Lepisosteus oculatus: one gene and its partners. The protein of the gene in region 2 purifies or fractionates together with the protein of the main gene of each other region. This does not show direct contact. Links are inferred from orthologs where the notes say so. Each region holds a gene or a part of one and is shown on either strand. Other genes may lie near its edges. The genes, in order: ankyrin repeat domain-containing protein 46, probable E3 ubiquitin-protein ligase MGRN1 and mc1r.

Evidence for each region.
Region 1: the proteins of probable E3 ubiquitin-protein ligase MGRN1 (region 2) and ankyrin repeat domain-containing protein 46 purify together in Homo sapiens (co-immunoprecipitation; 3 studies listed by BioGRID and IntAct, counting the BioPlex papers as one, with this or other methods). This does not show direct contact. The link is inferred for Lepisosteus oculatus from reciprocal best matches to the Homo sapiens genes MGRN1 and ANKRD46.
Region 3: the proteins of probable E3 ubiquitin-protein ligase MGRN1 (region 2) and mc1r purify together in Homo sapiens (affinity purification with western blotting; 3 studies listed by BioGRID). This does not show direct contact. The link is inferred for Lepisosteus oculatus from reciprocal best matches to the Homo sapiens genes MGRN1 and MC1R.

The regions. Positions count from the first base shown.
Region 1 is NC_090703.1:40,735,224-40,742,441, reverse strand, and holds the start of ankyrin repeat domain-containing protein 46, read right to left. Parts: upstream 3,076-7,218; 5' UTR 2,957-3,075; intron 2,239-2,956; 5' UTR 2,207-2,238; coding exon 1,896-2,206; intron 1,795-1,895; coding exon 1,636-1,794; intron 1-1,635. Other genes in the region: cysteine protease ATG4A, read left to right, coding at 5,069-5,078.
Region 2 is NC_090714.1:16,015,415-16,022,640, reverse strand, and holds the start of probable E3 ubiquitin-protein ligase MGRN1, read right to left. Parts: upstream 3,047-7,226; 5' UTR 2,588-3,046; exon of another isoform or gene 2,387-2,587; 5' UTR 2,373-2,386; coding exon 2,285-2,372; intron 1-2,284. Other genes in the region: ubald1a (UBA-like domain-containing protein 1), read left to right, coding at 5,172-5,279, 5,839-5,898. UniProt on the Homo sapiens protein: E3 ubiquitin-protein ligase. Mediates monoubiquitination at multiple sites of TSG101 in the presence of UBE2D1, but not of UBE2G1, nor UBE2H. Plays a role in the regulation of endosome-to-lysosome trafficking.
Region 3 is NC_090715.1:16,475,710-16,483,520, reverse strand, and holds mc1r (melanocyte-stimulating hormone receptor), read right to left. Parts: upstream 2,756-7,811; 5' UTR 1,988-2,755; intron 1,682-1,987; 5' UTR 1,596-1,681; coding exon 618-1,595; 3' UTR 524-617; downstream 1-523. UniProt on the Homo sapiens protein: Receptor for MSH (alpha, beta and gamma) and ACTH. The activity of this receptor is mediated by G proteins which activate adenylate cyclase.

The DNA of each region.
Region 1 (7,218 bases), on a different chromosome or scaffold from region 2:
ATGCAGAATTACCAATGACCCTCACCAGGAAGTCATAGGAAGGTGAGGGCATACCAGAAATGAAGGGGAGTTGGTGGGGAACATGTAAACTCCTTCCATAAGGTGGTTAAAAATTCACCAAAGAATTGTGAGGCAACAACACTAACAGTTACACTACCATTACATTCTATTGTCTCAGTGTCTAAAACTGCTTCTTTAACGTTTACAGCACAGATTATTGTAATTTGGGGTGAAAGTAAGGCATTTATAATAATAATTGCTTGAGTTTATATAGCCCTTTTCTGGACACTCCACTCAAAGCGCTTTCCAGGTAATGGGAACTCCCCTCCACCACCACCAATGTACCTGCAGCCATAGTGCACCAGAACACTCACCACACATTAGCCAATAGTGGGGAGGAGAACAGAGTAATGAAACCAATTCATAGATGGGGATTATTAGGAGGCCAAGATGCAAACTTTGGACAGGACACCGGGGTTCCATCCCTTCTCATTTTGAGAAATAATAATAATAATAATTATAATAATAATAATTGCTTACACTTATATAGCGCTTTTCTGGACACTCCACTCAAAGCGCTTTACAGGTAATGGGGACTCCCCTCCACCACCACCAATGTGCAGCATCCACCTGGATGATGCGACGGCAGCCATAGTGCGCCAGAACGCTCACCACACATCAGCTATCAGTGGGGAGGAGAGCAGAGTAATGTAGCCAATTCATAGAGGGGGATTATTAGGAGGCCATGATTAGTAAGGGCCAATTGGAAATTTGGCCAGGACACCGGGGTTACACCCCTACTCTTTTCGAGAAGCACCCTGGGAACTTTAATGACCACAGAGAGTCAGGACCTCTCTCTTGCATCTCATCAGAAGGACGGCACCTTTTTATAGTACAGTGTCCTCATCACCATACTGGGGCAATAGGACCCACATAGACTGCAGGGTGAGCACTCCCTGCTGGCCCCACTAACACCTCTTCCAGCATCAACCTTAGTTTTTCCCAGGAGGTCTCCCATCCAGGTACTGACCAGGCTCACATCTGCTGAGCTTCAGTGGGTTGCCAGTTGTGAGTTGCAGGGTAATATGGCTGCTGACATTTACTGCCAATGCCCTGTTTTTGAACTGAACCAGTATCAGATGACGCAGATGTGATGCTGGAATCAAGTTTTGAAAGGTTTTGCCATTTACGTGTTCTCAGGTTATCTGAGGTAAAACTTTTGGAAGCTCTTTTCTCATTAAACAGTATTGCCGGTACAGGAAGGGAGAAGTCTTTTCAAGTTGATCATTAGCTAGCAAAACACATTAACATCAACCACTCCGGATGGTAAAGAAGTAAAGTTATGAGGCTGTTTCCATTCAAACTGCAGAGGGCACTGATGGAATAGCCTTTAGAAAGCTCAAGTCTCATAACCTTTCTGCTTCAGTAAATGTGCCTACAAATCACAGGTGCACTCCTCGTGTACCATTCTGTTTCATACTACCAAAATCACACACAAGTAACAAGACAAAGTACTACAGCTTTGGTGTCAGCTTTGGCCGGAACTTTAGAAACTGGGTCTCGGCAGACTGCCAGACCCAAAAGAACGGTACACAAGCAGTACTCCAGAAGGCTCTCTCTTCCTCCCACACCCACCTCTCGCTCTCGGCCAGCTGCATGGACTCCAGCTTGGAGTGTGCCCCCCGGTTGAAGCCCTTCACCTCCTGCTCCTCCAGGCCCTCCAGCAGCCGGATGGCGTCCTTGTTGACCCCTCTCCTCTTCGCCAGCACCAGGGGAGTGGCGCCGTTGTGATTGCTGTGCCAGGAACACAAGGAGACGGGTTGAGGCCCCAGCCTCCCAAAGGGCGGAAGAGTTCCCAGCACTCTGACATGGGACAGACGGGGGTCTGCACCTACCAGATGTCAATTTTGAGCCCGTTCGAGACCAGGAACTGGATGGTGTCGACGTGGCCGCAGAGGTGCAGCGCGGTGTTGCCCTGGTAGTCCGTGGCCAGCAGGTCGGCCCCGAACTTGTGCAGCAGCCGGCAGATCTCCACGTTGCCGCGGGCCGCCGCCAGGTGCAGCCCCGTACGACCGCGGTTGTCCCGGATATTGGGATCGAAGCCGCTTTCCAGGAGGCGCTTCGAGTAGTTCAGGTCCCCGTCGATGCAAGCCTGCAGCAGGGGCACGTTCGTTTGGGAAGAGTCATTGATGAAGACATACGACATGTCTGAGTGGGTGTCGGTAAAGTCCAGGGTACCTGCGGGACAAGAAAACAAGCGCCGGGAAGGGTGTGTTGGAAAGTTAACTTTTAGTGAAGTGGTGTTGGGGTAAGATAGGCGGCGCGTCTGTCACACCCTCAAACTCGCACTGGGCTATGAAAGCCTGTCATCACTTGGACATTAACCCTAAAAAAAACATGTACGGTTAACGAAGCGAGAAAAGATTTAATACATTTTTCCAGATTTGCTTTTATTTTTAATACAAAATTACTGCGTCACGAGTGCGGTCCCATAAACATCGTAACATAAAGAACGAAATCTCCATCAAGCGCAGAAAAGGAGAGTTCACATCCGCCCCCTTCGGATCGGATGCGCTCATCTGGGTACACACCGATCCCACAGGTACGCCCCAACTCTGCACCGCAACGGAGAGCCGATAGTAAACCATTACATCACAAATTAATAAACACACGACATCGCCTGGACCTCCCGAGCTAAACCGAAGCGTACCTTAACGGGTGATGCCTATGTTTAAGCACAGATGCACGCCAAGAATCGTATAAAATATAAATACATTCCAGCAAAGAAAAGAAATAATTTAGGATGCACCTAAGCCGTCACAGATCCACTAAATTGGATTCTGCTTAAAACATCCTTTCAAAAAACCTTCATCATCAAGACGACTCGCTTACATGCATCGTATTTACATAAGCAGTCTTAAGCAAACTTCCCGAAAGCAGCAGTATTACCCATTACCTGATTATGTTTTGCAAAAGAACCGAAAAAATATGCCTCTTTTCCTTTTTATTTTGTTGCCGATCTAAGACGACACAAACCACCCGTAAACGGACCTGACAATTTCACGTCTACATCAGGGTGCTTTACGGCAGTAGGAGCTGTCTCGTTTCCATGGTTACCCCAGTCAGGAGCCGCCTACTCACTTGTAAGGGAGATTGACCCATCATTATATAAGACACAGCAATCTAAATCTACGAGTCAGAATCGCCGTTTTAAATAAAAAAGGTATCATTACAAGCTTTCAAAATAGAATTTAACATCATATAAGGTATAAAGACTCAATGTAGTAATAGTAGAGGGCAAATTAGGAAGGTGTTGCCAGATCTGAAAAGCTGAGAAGACTGGGCCTGGTCAGTACTGGAATGGTAGATCGCCATGAAAACTGGGCACCTGCTATAAGTAGCACTGGTGGACCAGTAAGTGGTTCTCTTCACCCATAACAGAATTTAATAATAATAAGAAGAAAGAATTTCTTGCATAATGTGCAGCATCCACCTTAACGATGAAATGACAACCAAACTGTGGACAGTAGGCTCTCCACACATCAGCTATCAGTGGGTTGAAGAACAGAGTAATGAAGCCAAGTCATAGATTATTAGGAGGCCAGGATACCAGGGTTACACCCCTACTCTTTTCAAGAAGTGCCTTGGGATTTTTAATGACAACAGAGAGTCAGGACCTACTGGCCCCACTATCACCTCTTCCACTAGCAACTATAGCTTTTCCCAGGAGGTCTCCCATCCAGGTGCAGGCCAGGCTCAAACCTGCTGCACTTCAGTGGATTGCCAGTTGTGAGTTACAGTATGATATAGATGCTGGGTACATTCATTATAATAATTCACAATCCAATGTCCCTGCCTGGTGACAGAGACAGTGTGCTGAAATAGGTGCCGTCTTTCATTGAGACTTTCAAACTGAGTTCCTGACTTCTTGGTTATTAAATGTAAAAATAAATTGCACTTTTCCAAATTTTAGGGATATTAACCCCAGTTTTCTGAATACATTCAATTCAATGTGGAAATGCAGGCCTTCTTAAAGTCTTCCCTAAATTAAATGGTGAAATAATTTCTCTCCTCACCACCTGGTCTGCTGTATGTTGGTATTGCTGGTGCAGGATGGTGTAGTTTAGTGAGAGAGATGTGGGTCCCCTCCTATTTGTAAAGCACTTTTGGGATCAAATGCAACCAATCATTGATTGTTTTATACAATGAAAAAACAAGTACTGTATTTAAGACACTGGGAAAATACTGAAGATGACCGTATTACCTTTAGAAAAACCCATGTGTTCATAGTTGATTATGTTTGTCGGACTTTGCCTTTATGTTGTATCAAAGAAATTATTTATATATCGCAGATGGGCCCATCCTGTGCAGTTCTTATACTGGAGAAAAGAAAATGTGATATGTAAAAAATCAGTGCGCTGCAATAACATGTAGCATGTTATGTAGCACAACCACCACACGAAAACACTAACAGCTACAAATTCCAAGATCTAAAAGTACAGACTATTGTTGTTAAAAGAAAAGCATTACAATACAAAGCTCAGAAATTGCAGTAATACTGGATCATACAATGAAAGTGTAGAGTAGGAACAGTTTTGAAGAGGGTGGGCAGTTATATTACTGTCGAGTACAGTATCTGTTTACACTTTAGGGTTCATTCTTTTTTGGGCAACCGTTCTGGACTGTACTTGCTCTTTTATCAAGCATGGTGGTGGAAAGACATAAATCTCTGGACAAGAGTTTCTGGAGTGTTTTTGCTTTTGGATGAAGAACAAAATCTCTAAAGCATTTTAAGAAGTAGGAGTAGTAGTAGTAGTAGTACTAGTAATAAAAATAACGGAATTAGGCACTGGAAATGAAACCTACCCGTGAAACACCAATACCCACAACGCACCTCAGTGTTTTCAGTTTCTATTAACGCCTAGTACCATAACATTGCCTACCGGTAGTTGTAGTTTATGATCCCTATCGTCGCCTAGAGATGCCACCACCAGGAACTACATTCCCCACAGTGCAGCGCGCACTATTTTTTTATTTCACCGCTTTAAACCCAGTTGACAGCCGGAGGATGGAGGCAGGTAAGAATATCACTCTCCGAGGCTAAAAATCGTCGTAAAGATTAAACATAAAAGTGATTTTTTGTCATGATTAATTAGGCTCTTCAGCAAAACCGTACAGAAAGAATTCCGTTCATCTTTAACACTGCGTTTCTGGATACACATCTGAGTTGGAAGTTTCTGTATTGTTTCTATCTGGCCCTCGTTAAGTGTAAACTTTACAGATTGGATTCTCTGTGTTTGAATTCCTTAAAGCAACGATCTTTTTTATTACTTAATTAATGTGAGTTTGTATTGGTTTTTGGTGGGATTGGGCAATTAAGATATAGAGCCGGTATATAAATAAAACCCCTTTTTTTTGCTTAGCGATGTTCGTTTCGGTGTATCCTCTCATTTTTTTCGGTCCTTGATATAATTTCTGGCATTGGTCAGAATACGTTTAGTATTTAATAGCTAATAATAAATAGCAACATCAGTAGAAAATCTGTCCCATTGGTACAGCTCGCAAAATCGACTGTGTTTTTTTTTTTCTGTTTTCAAAAACACGCCTGAATCTGTAATACAGATACTCCAAATCTCTGAAGTCCCGGAAGATCTGGCTTTTCCAGATGTAGAAAGTCTCGGAGATTTCAGGCGCAGCATAATGTCTGCGGCGTCATCATGGGGCTAGTTTTCTTATTGTCTCTCCGTGTTAACTGCACAGTCGCAGTGTTTGCGGAAAGGACAGATTCAATGTAGCCGACCGGAGTTTGAGGTTCCGTCTAATAAAAGGGCTGTCCTAGCTCGGATTCTGGAGGGGCGGAGTATCTGCGAGCTGTCATTCAAGTGCTGCTCGTGAAAACCAAAACCGTCTGGGTTACTGGCTTAACCGGACCACTTAAACCCCAACGATCTTTCAGTTTTGCGTGTCCGGATTAACAGTTCTGAATTGGACAGTCCCGGTCTAAAATACACAGTTTAAGCACCTCTCCTGATCTAGGATCTTCTGACGGGTATTCAATAACTCGCAGATGTGCAGGAGAGGTTCAGAGATGCTCTGAACTACAGTATGCGGCTGTTTCTGATCGTGCTGTCTTTTAAACCTATTGACTGAAAAAGTCAGTTAATTGGTTGGGAGATTCATTTGACCAGCAGAGAGGGTTACTTGTATAATAATAATTAAGAATTCCTTACACTTATATATATGACACTCCACTCAAAGTGCTTTAAAGGTAATGGGGACTCCCCTCCACCACCAATGTGACAGCAGCCATAGTGCACCAGAACACTCACCAGCTATCCGTGGGGAGGAGAGCAGAGTAATGAAGTCAATTGATAGATGGGGATTATTAGGAGGTTATTAATTGGTAAGAGCCAATGGGAAATTTGGCCAGGGCGCCAGGGTTACACCCCTACTATTTTCGAGAAACACCCTGGGATTCTTATTGACCACAGAGAGTCAGGACCTCGGTTTTACATCTCATCCGAAGGACTATGCCTGTTTACAGTATAGTGTCCCCGTTACCATACTGGGGCATTAGGACCCACATGGACCAGAGGGTGAGCACCCCCTGCTGGCCCCACTAACACCTCTTCCAGCAGCAACCTTAGTTTTAGGTCTCCCATCCAGGTACTGACCAGGCTCACACCTGCTTAGCTTCAGTGGGTTACCACTTGTGAGTTCCAGGGTGATATGGCTGCTGATAACTTATGTAGGCAAATTGATTACCCAGGAAAATGTGCCTTTTTTTCAACCTGGTCTACAGAGGTTCAATGCTGCAACTCACAACTAGCAACCCACTGAAGCTAAGCAGATGAGCCTGGTCCTGGCTTCATTACTCTGTTCTCCTCCCCACTGATAGCTGGTGTGTGGTGAGTGTTCTGGTGCACTATGGCTGCCGTCGCATCATCCTGGTGGGGCTGCACATTGGTGGTGGTGGAGGGGAGTCCCCATTACCTGTAAAGCGCTTTGAGTGGAGTGTCAAGAAAAGCACTATATAAGTGTAAGCTGCTATTATTATTATTATTATTATTATTATTATTATTATTATTATTATTACTTGCATGGGTAGCCTGATAGCCTTGGGTCCTGGACCCTGATTTCGGTTTTCCCTGTCCCTCCTGGTGGGATCATGCTTTGTGCTTCTGTGTCAGGGGTCACATGAGAGACCGGGAGGAGAGA
Region 2 (7,226 bases):
AGGAAGATGCCAGCCCAGCGGCCGAGACCCGAGCAGTTCTTCTGAAACATGGAAGCCAGCAAATGTACTTCATCGCTCATGAAGCAGCAGTGTTACCACCCTGTAGCGTGTTCTCGCCAGATCTCAGATGCTAATACTGAGATGGAAGACATCCAAGGAAAACCATGTTACAGCTGTTAGGCTGTGTCGGTACTGGTGGACCAGTAGGTGGCGTGCCTCCCTCTGGTCCTGAATTGCCAAACTAATGCCCACGTATGGGGGACGCTACTGCAGGAGGTGCTCTCCTTTGGACTGAGAGGCTGAACCGAGGGCCCCACAGCATGGTCATTGAAGATGCTGCAGCAGTGCTCGTAACAGTGAGCATGTTAAGCCTGTTCCAGCTAAACTCCACTCAGCACCCCAGATGGGTGCTGCTGACATGTCAAGTACATTGATGCCCACCAGGATGAAAAGTAATGTATAAATGCAGGGAAATACTGTTGATAAACTGGGCTCATCCCTGACAGCGTCTAATTTGATGACACATTTCAGGGTAATTTCTTTCACGATTTAACAACATCCCCTGTGTTGGAGAAACACGCTAGGAAATGCCAGACAGAAAAGTCATGGGGGATCTTTCAAAATTTCCATTACAGTATACTGTATGGACAACATCGTGGAGTAAATGGCATAGAGACCACGGAAATATAAGGGGATTGCTTTACAACTGCACCTAGATTGTCTCCTCTGCCTCCAGAACAGCCCCAGGGCCCAAAACAACAAAAAGAGCTTACCCAATCTGCTCAGATCAGAATTTAAACCCAAATCTACAGACAAGGGTTTTCCCAGGAAAACGCCAAGTCCAGAACTGTATCTTAAAGTCACTCACATCAGCCCAGCCTGCCAAGCCCAAGGGGTGAAACTGCTGCCACCTTTTCTCCCCTCATCCCACCCACAGGCCCTGACACACAACCACACCCTAACTTTTCACAACAACGACAACAGCAGCACTCAGGGCCAGCGGAGAAATTTCAGCATCCTCGATCTCCTAACAATCGTCCCCGTTTCGCCACGACGGTGGCGCCTGTAGTTTTAAAACCTGCGACTCTCTGGCGGCTCTGCCCGGCCTCCCTGCCTGGCTCGGACGGGCGCGGAACGACTTTCCTTTTCCCGCCCAGCTCCGACACCAAACAGGAACGCGCCGGAGGTGCCCCAGCCATCACCCGCCGGCTGAGGGGAACTGAAAGAGCTCCGCCGGGCCCAAGGTCACGTCCCCTGCGCAGGTGGGACACAACCCCAGGCCGTCAGCGTGCAGCTAAGATCAGTCCAGCATGGGGGCGTCAAGCTCCATCACTCCACTTCGCTTTGCCTGCTGGTGCTATTCTATGGAATAGCACCAGCAGCCCTATTCTATGGAAAGCAAGCGTGGCAGCCGTTTCCAAAAACCCCTTGTTTTTTTTTTTACAAACCAGATTTACCCCGTCTCGTTCTCCCTTTTGATACAGTCTCCTGTGCGACAGGAAAAAAAAACTGCCACATCCCTGCTACTGCACGGTACGCGGTGGGGATTCGGGACATCGGTTTTATTACTGTCCTGCTATGTGTGCCTCATGGCCTGGCAGCCGACCCGGGTCACGTCGTGATCGACCGCTGTCACTCCCTCACGCTGCGGGACAAGCAAGGGCAGCACCTTCACAAGCCCAAGATGCCCTCAGCTCCCGCTTGCAGGCGACTCCCGTCGTCATGACAGCAGCGGATGGCACCAGCAATCCTCGCTGGGAAAGCAGGTGTTTTTCGCCCAAACTGATTGCATCACCGGCGTACATGCAACACTTCGGTTATACGCAACATGAAATTAGTGATGAAATATCAAAAACTCTTTACAACAAAACTTTATACCGTGCAATATTCCATTTAAAGTAAAAGACCACCTTGCATCCACGCTGTCTTTCCAATACATCACCCAACCATTCTCACAAGCACTTCACAAACCATTTTTAAACGCCCGTTAAGGCAACACACAGAAACCCAGTGTGCTGGTGTGATTTTCATTTTGCGCCGATACAAATACGTGATTTTCTTTTCTACTCGAATGGCACTGCTCGGTAAGTTCACAGGCGAGGCAGGTCATCAATAACGCGCAGGTGTCCCATAAATACTATCAGACGAGAACTTTGACCCGATCCCCCCGGGGCCGCCTTCCTGTTTGTACACAAAGTCTTAGACTCCTGGGGCGGTACGCAAAGGCACCTCTGACAACACACTCAGTAGCCAGGGGTTGGCATGACTGAAACAGGGTCCTTACCGGTCTTGGGAGGGTATCTGTAGGCGGAATTTGCTTGGATGTCAATGTCTTCAACTCCCGCGATTCTCCGGCTAAGTATCGACCCCATGCTTCTCGCACGACCTTACAAACGGTAAAAACACAGGCAGCAGCGGTATAAAAGACGACGAGACGCCGGTCGCTTCAGGACTGAACGCTGTTCTGCGATTTAAGGAAAACGGCGGCGACTACGACAACGATTTCAGACGGAGAGAAATCCGTCGGACATGATGGAGAATTCCAAGATTTCTCGGGGATCGGCGATTAATCCTTTTTTTTTTTTACCAATTCTCTCATGAGGCACAGCGATATTTCCTCAGTTACATTTATAGTCCCACGACGTCAGAGGTTCATCCGGAAAAACACAGAAGTCCGAAGCCTCGAAGACACAAACGGAGACGGGAGAGAAACGGGGTTGTTGTTTTTTTTTTTTTCCGTCCCAGCAACAGGGTGTCGCGCGACATACGTGAACTCTCCCAGCATCGCGCGGAACGGGCAGGGGCTTGTGGGTCTTGTAGTTTTCAGAAGGAGGCTGCCATGCTCTCTTCGATACCTTTAACATGCCATGGAAACTACAACACTACTTAACTACGAGCGAGGAGAAGGAAAGGACTGGGTGTAGTGTCGTCGAGATTCACTCGCTGCCTCTATGACCGAATTAACACGATCATATTCGCGCTTAGCCGCTGTGACCCCTTCTTAACTTAGCTAGCTGTGTAAATAGGTATGAAAAAAACACTGTTCTGTGACTACATATCTTCACAAAGGGGTTGCAAATAAATAAGGAACAACGAAAAGTTTATTCCATGCTTCTTTGGGTGTTCTGAAGAAGGTTGCGCAGCCGAAACGTTGTGTCTCTTCTCTTTCCAGCGGGGAATAAACGTGTACCTGTCCCTTTGCAGCCTGCGCATGCTGACGCAGCTCATGACTTGTAAAGAAATAAGTCGTCAGATGGAAAACGATTAATACGAGTTTAGAGAAAAGTATACTCATGGGAAATACTGCTTAATCGTGGCCCGAGGGGGCGCAGGGGTTAGGCATCCCTGTGCAGTGTTGTGGCCCTGGATTCGATTCCTATCCGTGTGGAGTTTGTATGTTCTCCCTGTGTCCGCGTGGGTTTTCCTCCCACAGTCCACAGACACACTGGTAGGTTAACTTGCACTGTTAAAAAAAAACAGCTGGCCCTGGTGTGTACGCCTGTGCCTGTCTGTCCTGCAATGGACTGGTGTCCTGCCCGGGATGTATCCCACCTTACTGGGACGGACTCCGGTTCCCTCTGAACCGAACTGGATCGAAAAGGTTAGCAGACTGATGGGTGGACAGAATTGTACAATATGTGAAGTTACAACCGTGTATTTGTTGACATATACAAAAAACTGATTGCGATGTTTTGTGACGTGGCTATGGATATGCTGATAGTGAGGAGTGTATTGTTCTCTTTGCAAAATACCAGCGTCTTTCTGTCCAGATTGTACAGGCTGACATGGGGTTTGTTTAATGCGTGACTCTCTCTCCCTCACTTCCCTTCCAGGAATATTAATCAGAGGCAACACACACCAATAAAACAGACATGCAGAATGATATACAAACGATAGCTCTATTCACCTGGGCCACACTCAGACATTCATTCTAGAACAGATAGGATCACAAACACCAGACACAATGGGCTCTGCTCGGCCGTACTGTTGAATAAAAACAGCAACCAGCTCTTCAGAAATAATGCTGCTAGTGCTCTGAAAAAGACTGTTAGGCTTGTAGTCCCAGGAACAAAACAGTGTTGTCTTTCAGGCGTCAAAACGGAATCGAGGAATAAAACTAACCACACGGGATAGCGTACATGCGAGAAGGAACCGACATATTTTCATCGGCAAACTCCGAGAATTTACTCATTTAAAAAAACAGTCTTTCATCTGACATTCGGCCATAGGAGGACGCCCGTCCGGCCGATTGGCACAGAGGTCAAGCGTGTCCTAACAAAACTGGCGCAGATCCCCTACTCCCGGACCACAACACCGGCCTTACACACAGCGCCCCTCAGCTGACAGCTCCTGGCCCCGCCCCTGCTCGCTTTTCATTGGCGCTCAGAGGTTTGTTGGCCTAATATGGTAAGATAGTGACACAAAGCGCCCAGGAATTGGACGGGAGCGGCCGTCATTCACAAAAAAAAAATGTTTTGCTTTCTAGAATTTTACAAACAAAGCGTGTGGTGCCGGGATTTGTAGTCCAAAATGCAAACAATAACACAAGGGGGGCACGGAGATCTGCACTTACAGCTAATCAGGATTCGTTTCTACACTCAGATATACAGTTTAGAAACCGTGTCGAGCCCAAAGGTGAAACGTATTTCTAAATACCATTTAAATGTCATACAGTAAATATATGGCCAATTCAATGTTATCGGGGGGAAAAAAAACGCCGTCTTAATGTGTCACCATTCTGGATATAAACCGAATTTAAGACTGTATTGAACTTGGATAGTATGTATTTGGGCTTAGTTTTTAAACTCCTCACTCAGACCCGCGCGAAAACAGAGAAATCGCCGGAGTTTCTGTTCTTAGGCTGTCGTGCAAAACGAGCTCTCTGACACTGCGTGAAAACACGTGTGGGGGCAGCGGGGGGTTTCAGAAACTACAAATCCCACAAGCGGGCAGTCCCACCCCCTCGCTGCCGTCAGCAGTCAATCAGAAGGAGCCCTCTAGACTGGCGATCCTACAGTAAATATTTGTGTTTGCTGAGCCGGCTGTAATGGTGGATCACTGAAAGAGACAGAAAGGGAAAGAGAGAGAGAGAGAAAAAAAACAGAAGCAAGGACCGAGACGCAGAAAGAATATCACACGACACGCTTGAAACGGTTACCGCTTCGGCGACTATGGATGATCTAAAGCACCAAGTGATGATCAATCAGTTTGTTTTGACGGCTGGGTGCGCGGCGGACCAGGCGAAGCAGCTCTTGCAAGCGGCACACTGGCAGTTCGAGGTATGGGCTCTGGAGCTGGTGTTTATATATATATACACACACACACAGTCTATCCGCGGGAGAGAGCGGGTGCTTTGTGCGTAGGATTGCCATGTTTAGTGTCTTGCCCGAGAAGGTTGATTTGCAAATGATGTCGAAAGCCGGGACTGAAGAGATCGTCAACCCGAGCTCCCTTTCTTATTCACCGCGTCGTCTAGCAGAAATGTGGTGCTACGTGTAGCGAGCATGATTGTGTTCAGGAGGGGACGAGTGCATCCATATAGCTCGAAATCCCCCCCATCAGAATGTGCCCTGGGTGCCACAGTCCCCTTGCGCGGCTCACACAGGGCAGGAACGGTGTTGTGCAATATATGGCCGTCGTGTATTGCCTTCGCCGTGCCGTGACTGCGAGAGACCCCCCCCTCACCTCACCTCACCTCACCACACCAGACCCCCCCTGCTCGCTTGACCTGGTGACCGTGGGCACCGGCCCCCCGAGCAGCGACACGCCGGGCTGTCAGGCGGCGAGCGGCCCCGGCGAGACCAGCCTCTCTTAAATTCACGCTTTCTCCCCTTGCAGACTGCGCTCAGTGCCTTTTTTCAAGAAGCCAACATCCCGTACAGCCACCACCACCAGATGGTGAGTATATACTTTTTTTCAGTGCATGCATGTCCGTGCTTTATTATCGGGATTAGTAGTACTTTTATTATTATGATTATGATTATGATGATGATGATGTGTCCGCCATGTTGCCGGGGCTAGAAGCTGGATAAAAACATAAACAAGACGGCGCACGCTTGGGTTCCGACTCCGCTCTCCTAGCTTTCTAGTTTTCTGTCTGGAGGAGGGGAGGGAAAAAAAAGGCTTTTTTTTAAAAAAAAAAAGATGATAGATCGGAGCTATCGCAAGGAAGCCGTCGAGTTCGTTCAACTCGGGTTACAAGAGGACCGGTTCCTTCTCCGGCCCGGTTATTTATTTATTTTTAAAATTGCGGTTTTGAAAACGTGTCTCCGAAGAGGAGGTTGTGGTGGTGGGTGGGGGGGTGATTCCAGGAAAACTGTGAACATGGTGTCGGTCTGCAGTTTCGACACGAGTCTCTCCCCTCCCTCCCCCCTCTACTTACACACCAGAGCAGCTCCGGACTCTTCTCTTCCCCTGTGTCACTGACCGCCGCGCTGGGTCAGGATCACAATCTGCGGGTCCTGTGGCATATTGGAAACAGGGTAGTAAACTGTTTTCCCGTATCAGGACAACACGTAAAAAAAAAAGCACCCAACTGGTACAGCGTTTGGCTGCAGCTTTTACCTGCAAATGAATGGCTGGAGCAGGATCTGCGACCCCCCCGCGATTTAGTTCGCTCAAATACACGGCAAGTCCCGGTTATTTCTGTAGGACGTGACGTGTCGTCCTGCGGTGGGAGTGCAGTTTCACGCCAGCGATGTGGACATAGTGAAAACGGAGCTTATTTGTGAATCGTTTCTTTACGGGGCGCCCTGATCGCCGGCAGCTCTCGGGCTGTGATTGTCAGCGCAAAAGCTTTCTTTCCAAGAAAGCGCAACATGCTCTCTACCGGCATGAACGGTTTCTGGGTTCAGTCCTGACATCTTTATAATGTTACATTTATTATTATCATCATTATTGTCATCGGCGCACAGGAGGCTGGAAAAAGCTGCCGCTACAGATAATTCTAACGCTTGTTTTGGGCATTGTTTCGACAGAACACAATAAAAGAGAACACGGCTATATGTTTTCAGGAAATCCTGCAGTATAGCAGAACTACAGTGCACGATGAAAAGGACTATCGTTGTCTTGATTCTTAGTTTCCTGTTGACGGGGCGTGTGCGACCTCCCGACTTCCACAGAAGCGTAGCTGTAGAGCCATGCGCGCTCCTTCGAGTGCCTGCAACCACAGTTCGCTACTGCCGCACACGAAGAAACCGAAACGGAGGAAAAACATTAATTAGGAT
Region 3 (7,811 bases), on a different chromosome or scaffold from region 2:
GCCAAACTGTAAAGAGAAGGCTAACTGTTGCTTTATTGATATCCCTTATTTTAGAGAATTGTATTCCAATTCACGTGGTAGAATGGTTTGCTTTTAGAAGAGTAGATCAGTTTTTCATTTTTATTTTTCAGACTTACAATTTTAAAGACGTGCATGATTGTTTTAGAAATATCAGCTCCTTAGCCTTCCCCTTCAGTCTGAAAAAATAACATTTCAGTACATTCAGCCAGTAAGAAGTCACCAGTTACAGTATGTAAAAAAAAAGTTTCAAAGGCGCCAAAATATAGTTATTTGATTGTTTGATTTTACTTTACTTTATAACAAAACTTTACAAACCTTAGACGCAATTTATGTTGTTTTTTCTATTCAACATTAAAAGGGCTGGATATTTTGACTTCTGGTGCTCTTAAGAACCCACTTCTTCACCGTTACATCATGACTTTTACTGATGCTTCAGCAGACTGCAATGAAGGAAAGGGGAAAAGAGCTACCACGCAAAATCCAAACAGAGCAAACAGAGTCACACTGTAGCCCTTCCTCATGCCAGCTGCTCCAAAAAGAGTTCATTTTGTTTGCTTTTTTCCTTCTTCCTTCCCCCTGTCTCTGTGGAGGACCACCTACATGGTGAACCACCAGGAGCAGAACACGAGCTCCTTCAGAGTCCTGCGCAGCTCCTGGCTCCTGTAGGCGTAGATGATGGGGTCGATGAGGGAGTTGCAGATGATGAGGATGAGGAAGAGGTTGAAGTGACTGAAGAAACAGGCGCAGTAGGGGCTCTTGGGGCAGGTGAGGATGAGAATGAGATGGAGGAAGAACGGGCTCCAGCAGATGACGAAGACCCCCAGCAGGATGGTCAGAGTGATGGCCCCCTTCATGCTGGTGGCCTGGTGCTGGCGGCGGTTCTTGTAGTAGGTGGTGATGCGCTTGGAGTGGATGTGAGCCAGGATGAACATGTGGAGGTACAGCACCGCGGTGAACACCAGCATGGTGCAGAAGATGGTGATGAGGCAGATGATGACGGCTGTGTAGTTGTAGTAGACGATGAAGAGCGTGCTGGAGATGGTGCTGGCCACCCAGATGACCACAATGATGGCCACTGCGCGCTGGGTGGTCATGATATTGTGGTAGCGGAGAGCGTAGAAGATGGTGATGTAGCGGTCCGCCGCAATGGCGCTGAGGAAGGAGAGAGAGGACACCACCGAGCTGCAGATCATGATGTCGATCACGTTGTCCAGCTGCTTCATCATGTCCGGGGTCACCACCAGCACCCCCTGCTCGATCAGCAGCATGAACATGGTTTCCACCACATTGCTGACGCTCACCAGCATGTCGGAGACGGCCAGGCAGCAGATGAAATAGTACATGGGCGAGTGCAGGTTCCTGTTCTTGATTATGGCCAGCACCACCAAAATGTTCTCCACCAGGCTAATTAAGCCCAGAGTCAGAAAGATCTCGTGGGGGATTGTGATCTGCTCGCAGCCGGTGGAGTTGGGGCTGCCCAGGGAGACGTTAGAGGTGTTCTCCCAGTGCGTGGAATCCAGGGGGCTGACCTCAAGGTGTTTCATGATGAGAGGATTGAAGGCTGTAACGTTCATGTCCTTTGGCTCAGCCGCAAGAAACAGTGTGGACGTGCTCGATGGAAGCAGGGCTGTCAGTCTGAGTTGCTCTCTATGGCCTTGCACTAAAAACAAATATACATGAATGAAAGCCTCCATTTAAAGGGCGTGTCATTTCATCTCAAACCCTCATCGTCTTTAGTATTTGATATTGATATCGGTGCGAAGTTTTGCTAATACTGGTCTGTGTGCATTACAAGTATCCAATCCGTCACTTTATTTTAAATGTATTTTAAATCTTTACTTTCAGAAAAAAAAGTGCACCTTACAGAACAAGATATAACAACACCTAACGCACATAAAGCACTACAAAACCGCAAGAAGTACAATAAAAGGAAGGTTATACAAATTTAATATACATTCGTTTTTACCTCTTAGCTCTCGTGTTGCTGTTTCGGTAGCTCTGGGTGGCTTGCAGGCAATTCGCTGCTCGGGAGCAGAAACAGGAATCCGGGCGAACTCACCTCAGCTGGGTCTCGTCGCTCAGGTGCTTGAGTGCACATCAGAGATGCGTTCCTCCAGTCCCAGGAAATAGGAACAGCAGATATCCCGCAGGTCAAAAACGTTGCCTTTTCTTTTAGACTTTTGAGGTAATTAATGAGATCCCGGATTTTATTTGCACGTGTAGATTGAAAAAATATATTTAATTTCCCTTTAAACTCAGGAGTGAATATATACCGTTCCCGAAGTCCCGGGTGCCTGTCAGCATCTCATCCCTTGGTATTAATCTAAATATTAAAAAATGAAGAATGTTGTGTCTGCTAGGAATTCCCTTCTTAAGGCTGCCGCTTTCTTGTCAGAGCCGATACAGGCGGATTGACTCGCGAACTGTCGTCCCAGCTCGCACGAGATCTTTAACTGGTGAAGATCGTTACAAAAAGGACAATCGAAGCATCTTTAAATATAATATATCTGAAAAAAAAGAGACAATTCGCTCTTCTTTAAAGGTCGGGGTCTTGCTCAGGCTCCACCTATCCCAGTGATGAGCAAGCACATGACAAACCCTCCAAAAAATGTCATTTTCATGAAGCCAAGTCAGCTCAGTTCAATGCTGAGGTCCCGTATGGCAATAAACTCGTATGGCTAACATCTGCGTCGTCGTTTGCGAAAATAAATGTCACACTAAGACTCGGCGCTTTGTGGCGCTCTGGGCAAGGATCATTAAAAGATTAAAAACCGTTTCAGTCTTGATGGCAGCGAACATCATTACTTATTACAGGAATTACTGATTTCATTGCGCAATTGACTGATAAGTCTCGCTGTTTGAGACACAAAATCGCACTGAAATATGAACATAGCGGAGTTAATATTTTTCTTAATTCCGAAAATTGTTAAAGTTATTTTTTATTAATACAAACACTGAATGAGCCACTCGGACTCGTGTCGCGGTCGCAATATTGGAGCTACTAGGCATGTGTTGACAGTTACCTTTTTGTGTAAACTAATTATTTTGGTTTTAACTGGTTTAAAACTGGTTGGTTTTAAAGCTACTTAACCCGCCTAAAAATAAAGTCAGACAGACGCGTAACAACAGGTGAACACGCCGTGTGTCGTGTCGTGCGCTTTGACCTGCGAGAGCTACAGCAGTGAGAAACACATCTGATCGTTCACAGCCAAATTAGCCAAATTAAACAGCCAAATGAGCGCAGAACCAGAACTTAAAACATTAAAACATTTTCACAACCTTTAATTGTAAAGATTGCGGTAGCAAATTTTGAATAAATGTTCTTACAATGTAATGATTGATACTTTGTTAAACATGACGCGTTCAGTGTTCAGCCCTGATACTAAAATAAATGTGTAAATTGAACATTTACTAAATAGATATTACTGTTTCATTTCCACGTTGAGTCTGATAATACATTAGTCCTCTATGAATTTAATTAAGAAAAAAATATGGAGTAATCTTTAGTATGTATTATATTTGAACATTTGCAGTTAACAAATTGTAAAATACGGGCTTGTCTTGACTAAAGTATAAAACTAAACTGTACTGACTACCAATCTAACGTGTTAACGATCTGTAACAAACTGCTCAAAGCTGGTTACTGATTTAATCAGCAGCCTGTGCAAATTAGTAGTTTAAAGACTATGGAAGTTAAGAAAGGATGCCTTCAAATGAAGAAATTGAAAAACAATCAAGAACATATTCCTTTATATTTAAAAAAACAGTGCTATTGTATTGGTATCGCAATTACACAAACCGAACCGAACCGAACCGAACGTTCTTTGAAATCGAGAAGTGAGACACTAACATTATTTTGTGGTCGACCTTCACGTGTCGTGCCATCAAAAAAACAGAAGGGGTTTTCGGTGTTGGGTGAAAGGGCGGGTCACTAATCGAACCGCATTTCGAAATGCTCAAAAGAGCACGATGTCTGAGATGTCTAGGAACACTTCTAGGATAATACTGTACATTCTTTCTAGAGCAGCACGATGGCAATACTTTGAAAATTAGCTACCGTCTGTCTTAATCGTTAGAATTTAAATTACAGTTCCAACTTGAGCAGAACAATGTTTTTAAGTACTGCGGGCTCGTTGCTTACACCACTTTCCCTGCACAAACTAAACAGACTCGATTTTTAAAGGACTTGGATAAATTATATCTCCGGTCACATTACTACTGTTATCCTGGGGCTCATTTCTTATGAAAGAGCGCATTCAAAACCGGAAAGAATTTCAAGATTTAAAAAAGATACATGCCTTTAATGGAGAAAAGTAATTAGATTTAACATTCTAATTTGAGTTATTTTTAGCAAACGCATAGCTCGGAATTATTTATAATTTCATAACATTTTCCTAATTTCTTAACAGTGGTCTGCTAAACAACGTGATTACACGTTGCTGATATTTAAATAAGAATTATGTTTGAGACACATCTAAGCCTCCAAAAACACGGAATAAACCTTTACTTGCTTCTTTAAGTAACTACCTACTACTATCAAACAGGCTAGGTGGTGTGTCTGTCTCCCCTCCCTTGTGAAACTCTTCTGAAAGATGTAGCTATAGACTGTGTTAATCTTTCTCTTGCAGTTTACCATATTAACAGAAGAGCTTGCAGTGATGGGCAAAATACATTGGTCAGATGAAAGCAAGTATAACTAGAACAACAATAATAAAAGATGGTAGTGTTTGGCACAGAGGCACAGTGCCCAGCATTGCTGCCTTGCAGCACTGGAGCCCTGAGCTGAATACCGGACCTGGGGTCCTGTCTGTTATAGATTCAGTATGTTTTCCCTGTGTTTGAGTGGGTTTCTTCCCACAGTCCAAAGACATGCTGGTAGGTTAACTGTCATCTGGGAAACTGGTCCTGGTGTAAGTGTGTGTGTCTGTGTCTGTATGGACCCTGCCTTGCGCCCACTGCTTGCTGGGATAGACACCAGCTCCCTGGCGACCCTGAATGGGATGGAGCAGTTGGAAAATGGCTGGATGGATGTGGTCTATAGAATACACTGCAGTTAGTCTGCAGTTAAACGAGAGATGCATAAGAATGAAATCATTTAATTCTGGTTACGTAAGAGCTCCTGCACACCATAAAACAGTCATCGGCCTCTTAAAATAGCTGTTGCCTTTGATGTATTATCCAAATTTGTTCCATTTGCTACATGGCTTATGTCAATGAGAAGAATTACCATCATTGAAAAAACATTTCTGGCTATCACATTGTACAAACAGAAAATTCACTGAAGCAGGTTCCTGGGAGAAGGGCAGTTCCCTCACTCAGAACATTTCTGTGATTGATTCCCAATTCTAATCCGATAAACCATAAATTCCCTTTCTCTAAAAAGAGCGCAGAAAGAGCAATTATGCTTCCATCCTGCAGTGAAGTAATGAGTTTTTAAAAGGCTGCTGGAGTGAATGTTCACATTTCAGAACGCACATAAAACCTTTCTCTGAAAAGCCCAAACTGGAACAAAAAATACACAACAACAAAAACATTCCTGTACAGTTCTGTCTATCACCTATCATAAAGATTCTACTTTTCTGGATGAAGCATTTATTGAGTTAAACAATAGTAACTGTTTGTCTGAAGTGCAGTCCGTGAACAATCAGATCATATGCACACAGTAGTACTTGTCAGCTCCAAGTTAATTCTGGCCTTGCTGACCTGTGAAGTGTGAACCCCCCAGCCTAATAGCAGCACTAACGATGAAACCCACCACATCCGTTTGTGCTGGTTTGTGTCTTTGAAAAACAAACCTTTTCCACTTACAGAGCTGCCATGCAGCATATTTCACACTGGGTGAACCACATGGACCTGGGCTGAATGAACAATCAGAAAAAGGAACACTTATTTTTCTGGCTTTTAATGTACAAACCGCAAGCAAAAGGCTCTGTATGTGCTAAGTTAGTTAAACTAACTGATACACATTTCAAACCAGATCCTTGTCTTTGCTTGTTAAATGACCATTATTTGGTTAATTTGTGTTTTAATTCATAAAGGACTGCTTTTTGTTGGCTTCACAGCAGTTAACAAAATTCTACAACTATGGTTATGCCCAGACAATGTGCCAGATAAACACTGAATACTCACATATCAGTATATTGTGAACTTAAGTTGTACAACAGCTAGGAAATTCTTAAAATGACCCAATCTGGAGAAGGGATTTCCATAACTGTTAGAAATAAGCTTATTTCTTAAAACAGTAAATACACATACAGTGTAATCTATATTAACGTGTATTAAACTTGTATTACATTAGGTTGAGATAAAAATGTATAGCTGTATTGGTACTGTAATGTTGATTGTAGTGTTGATGTTTGTTTTTATTTGTTTTTTAATCTGTTTGAAAATCCAATAAAAATGTTGATTACAAAAAAAAGAAAGGGCACTGCTGTTCTTCAGCTGCATCTTCAAGAGAGTATTGAGGTCAGGAGGAAATACAAAGAACTGATCAAGACAACACAGGGTGAAATAAAAAACAAACACTGTACCTCAACAGCAGCAGCATGTCCATGTCTTCCCAAATGAACAGTGACAAAGAGCTGGGGAGAGGAGGACAAGGAGGGGATAACTAAACTCAAGCCAAACAATCAAGCCTTTTGACGGATTCAGTTTTGACTTTTGTAGATCAAAAGCAAGGAGATTATAATCATTATCCAACTTAGCAGGGTAAGACTGCATGAGTCATCACTTCTCTGTTTCCCTCACAAGTGTCTGGCAGCCTGATCTTCATTCTGCCTTAAACCTCATCTGATCACTGGATCAACATCCATCAATCCATTTCCTAATCCGCTTATCCAGTACAGGGCTGTGAGGGGAGCTGCAGCCGGAGCCTGTCCTGGGAAGGCATGGGCGCAAGACAGGGTCCAGGATGCACCCTGGACAGGACACCAGGACACTGAGGAGGCTGGAGAACCTGCAGGCATGGACCTCACCATGGAGGGAATCCAAGATTGCAGGTTCTTCTCTGTGTGTTTCTGTTGGGGGCAATAGTGGGCAGTGATAATACCCACCAAACTCACCAGTCCCTGATGTTGAAATACAAAAAAACAACAGCGCCCCCTGCAGAAAGCACAGAACTGTGGCTCAGTGGTTCTGGCGTGTTTCCCAGACAGCTGCTGGCTCAGATCCCCGGGCCAATGTTGCTGTGCTGCTTGAGTAAAGTCCTTCGCTCCGATTACTCCAGTTCATATCCTGATATATAAAAGGGCCCCTCTCAGGTCTTCGCTGGAAATAATCGTTTGTTTGCAATTGACATATCTGGTTAAACAACAGATTCAAAATCTTTGCATAATTTGCAGTTAATGCCTCCCCACTGAAACATTTTTTGCCCTGAGCAGTGCACACTTAAACAAGGAAAACCATTTCAAATACAGTATATCACTGGCTCAGTTTGTCTCAATGGGACCAACACAGAGAACTGAGTCACTTTCTGGTCTCATTAACTATGGGTTAATGCTATGCACCACCATGGACCCTGCTGTACTGCAAGTGAGGTATTGTACCCCAGTGCCTCCAGTCCACCCAGCTGTAGAAACTGGGACCAGCATTGCTCGGTCTGATTGCTATGATAGACCAGCATCTCACTCAGGGGCCAGAGAGACTAACGTGCTCTGTCTGCTTAACACTGTGGAACTCGGCACAGGATTTGGCTTGATGAGCTGTCAAGATAATGTTGAGATGCAGCAAAGCGTCAGGAATCAGGAGTCAGTCTCCTTGGCAGGGCTTGGGGACTGTGGTATGAAAACATC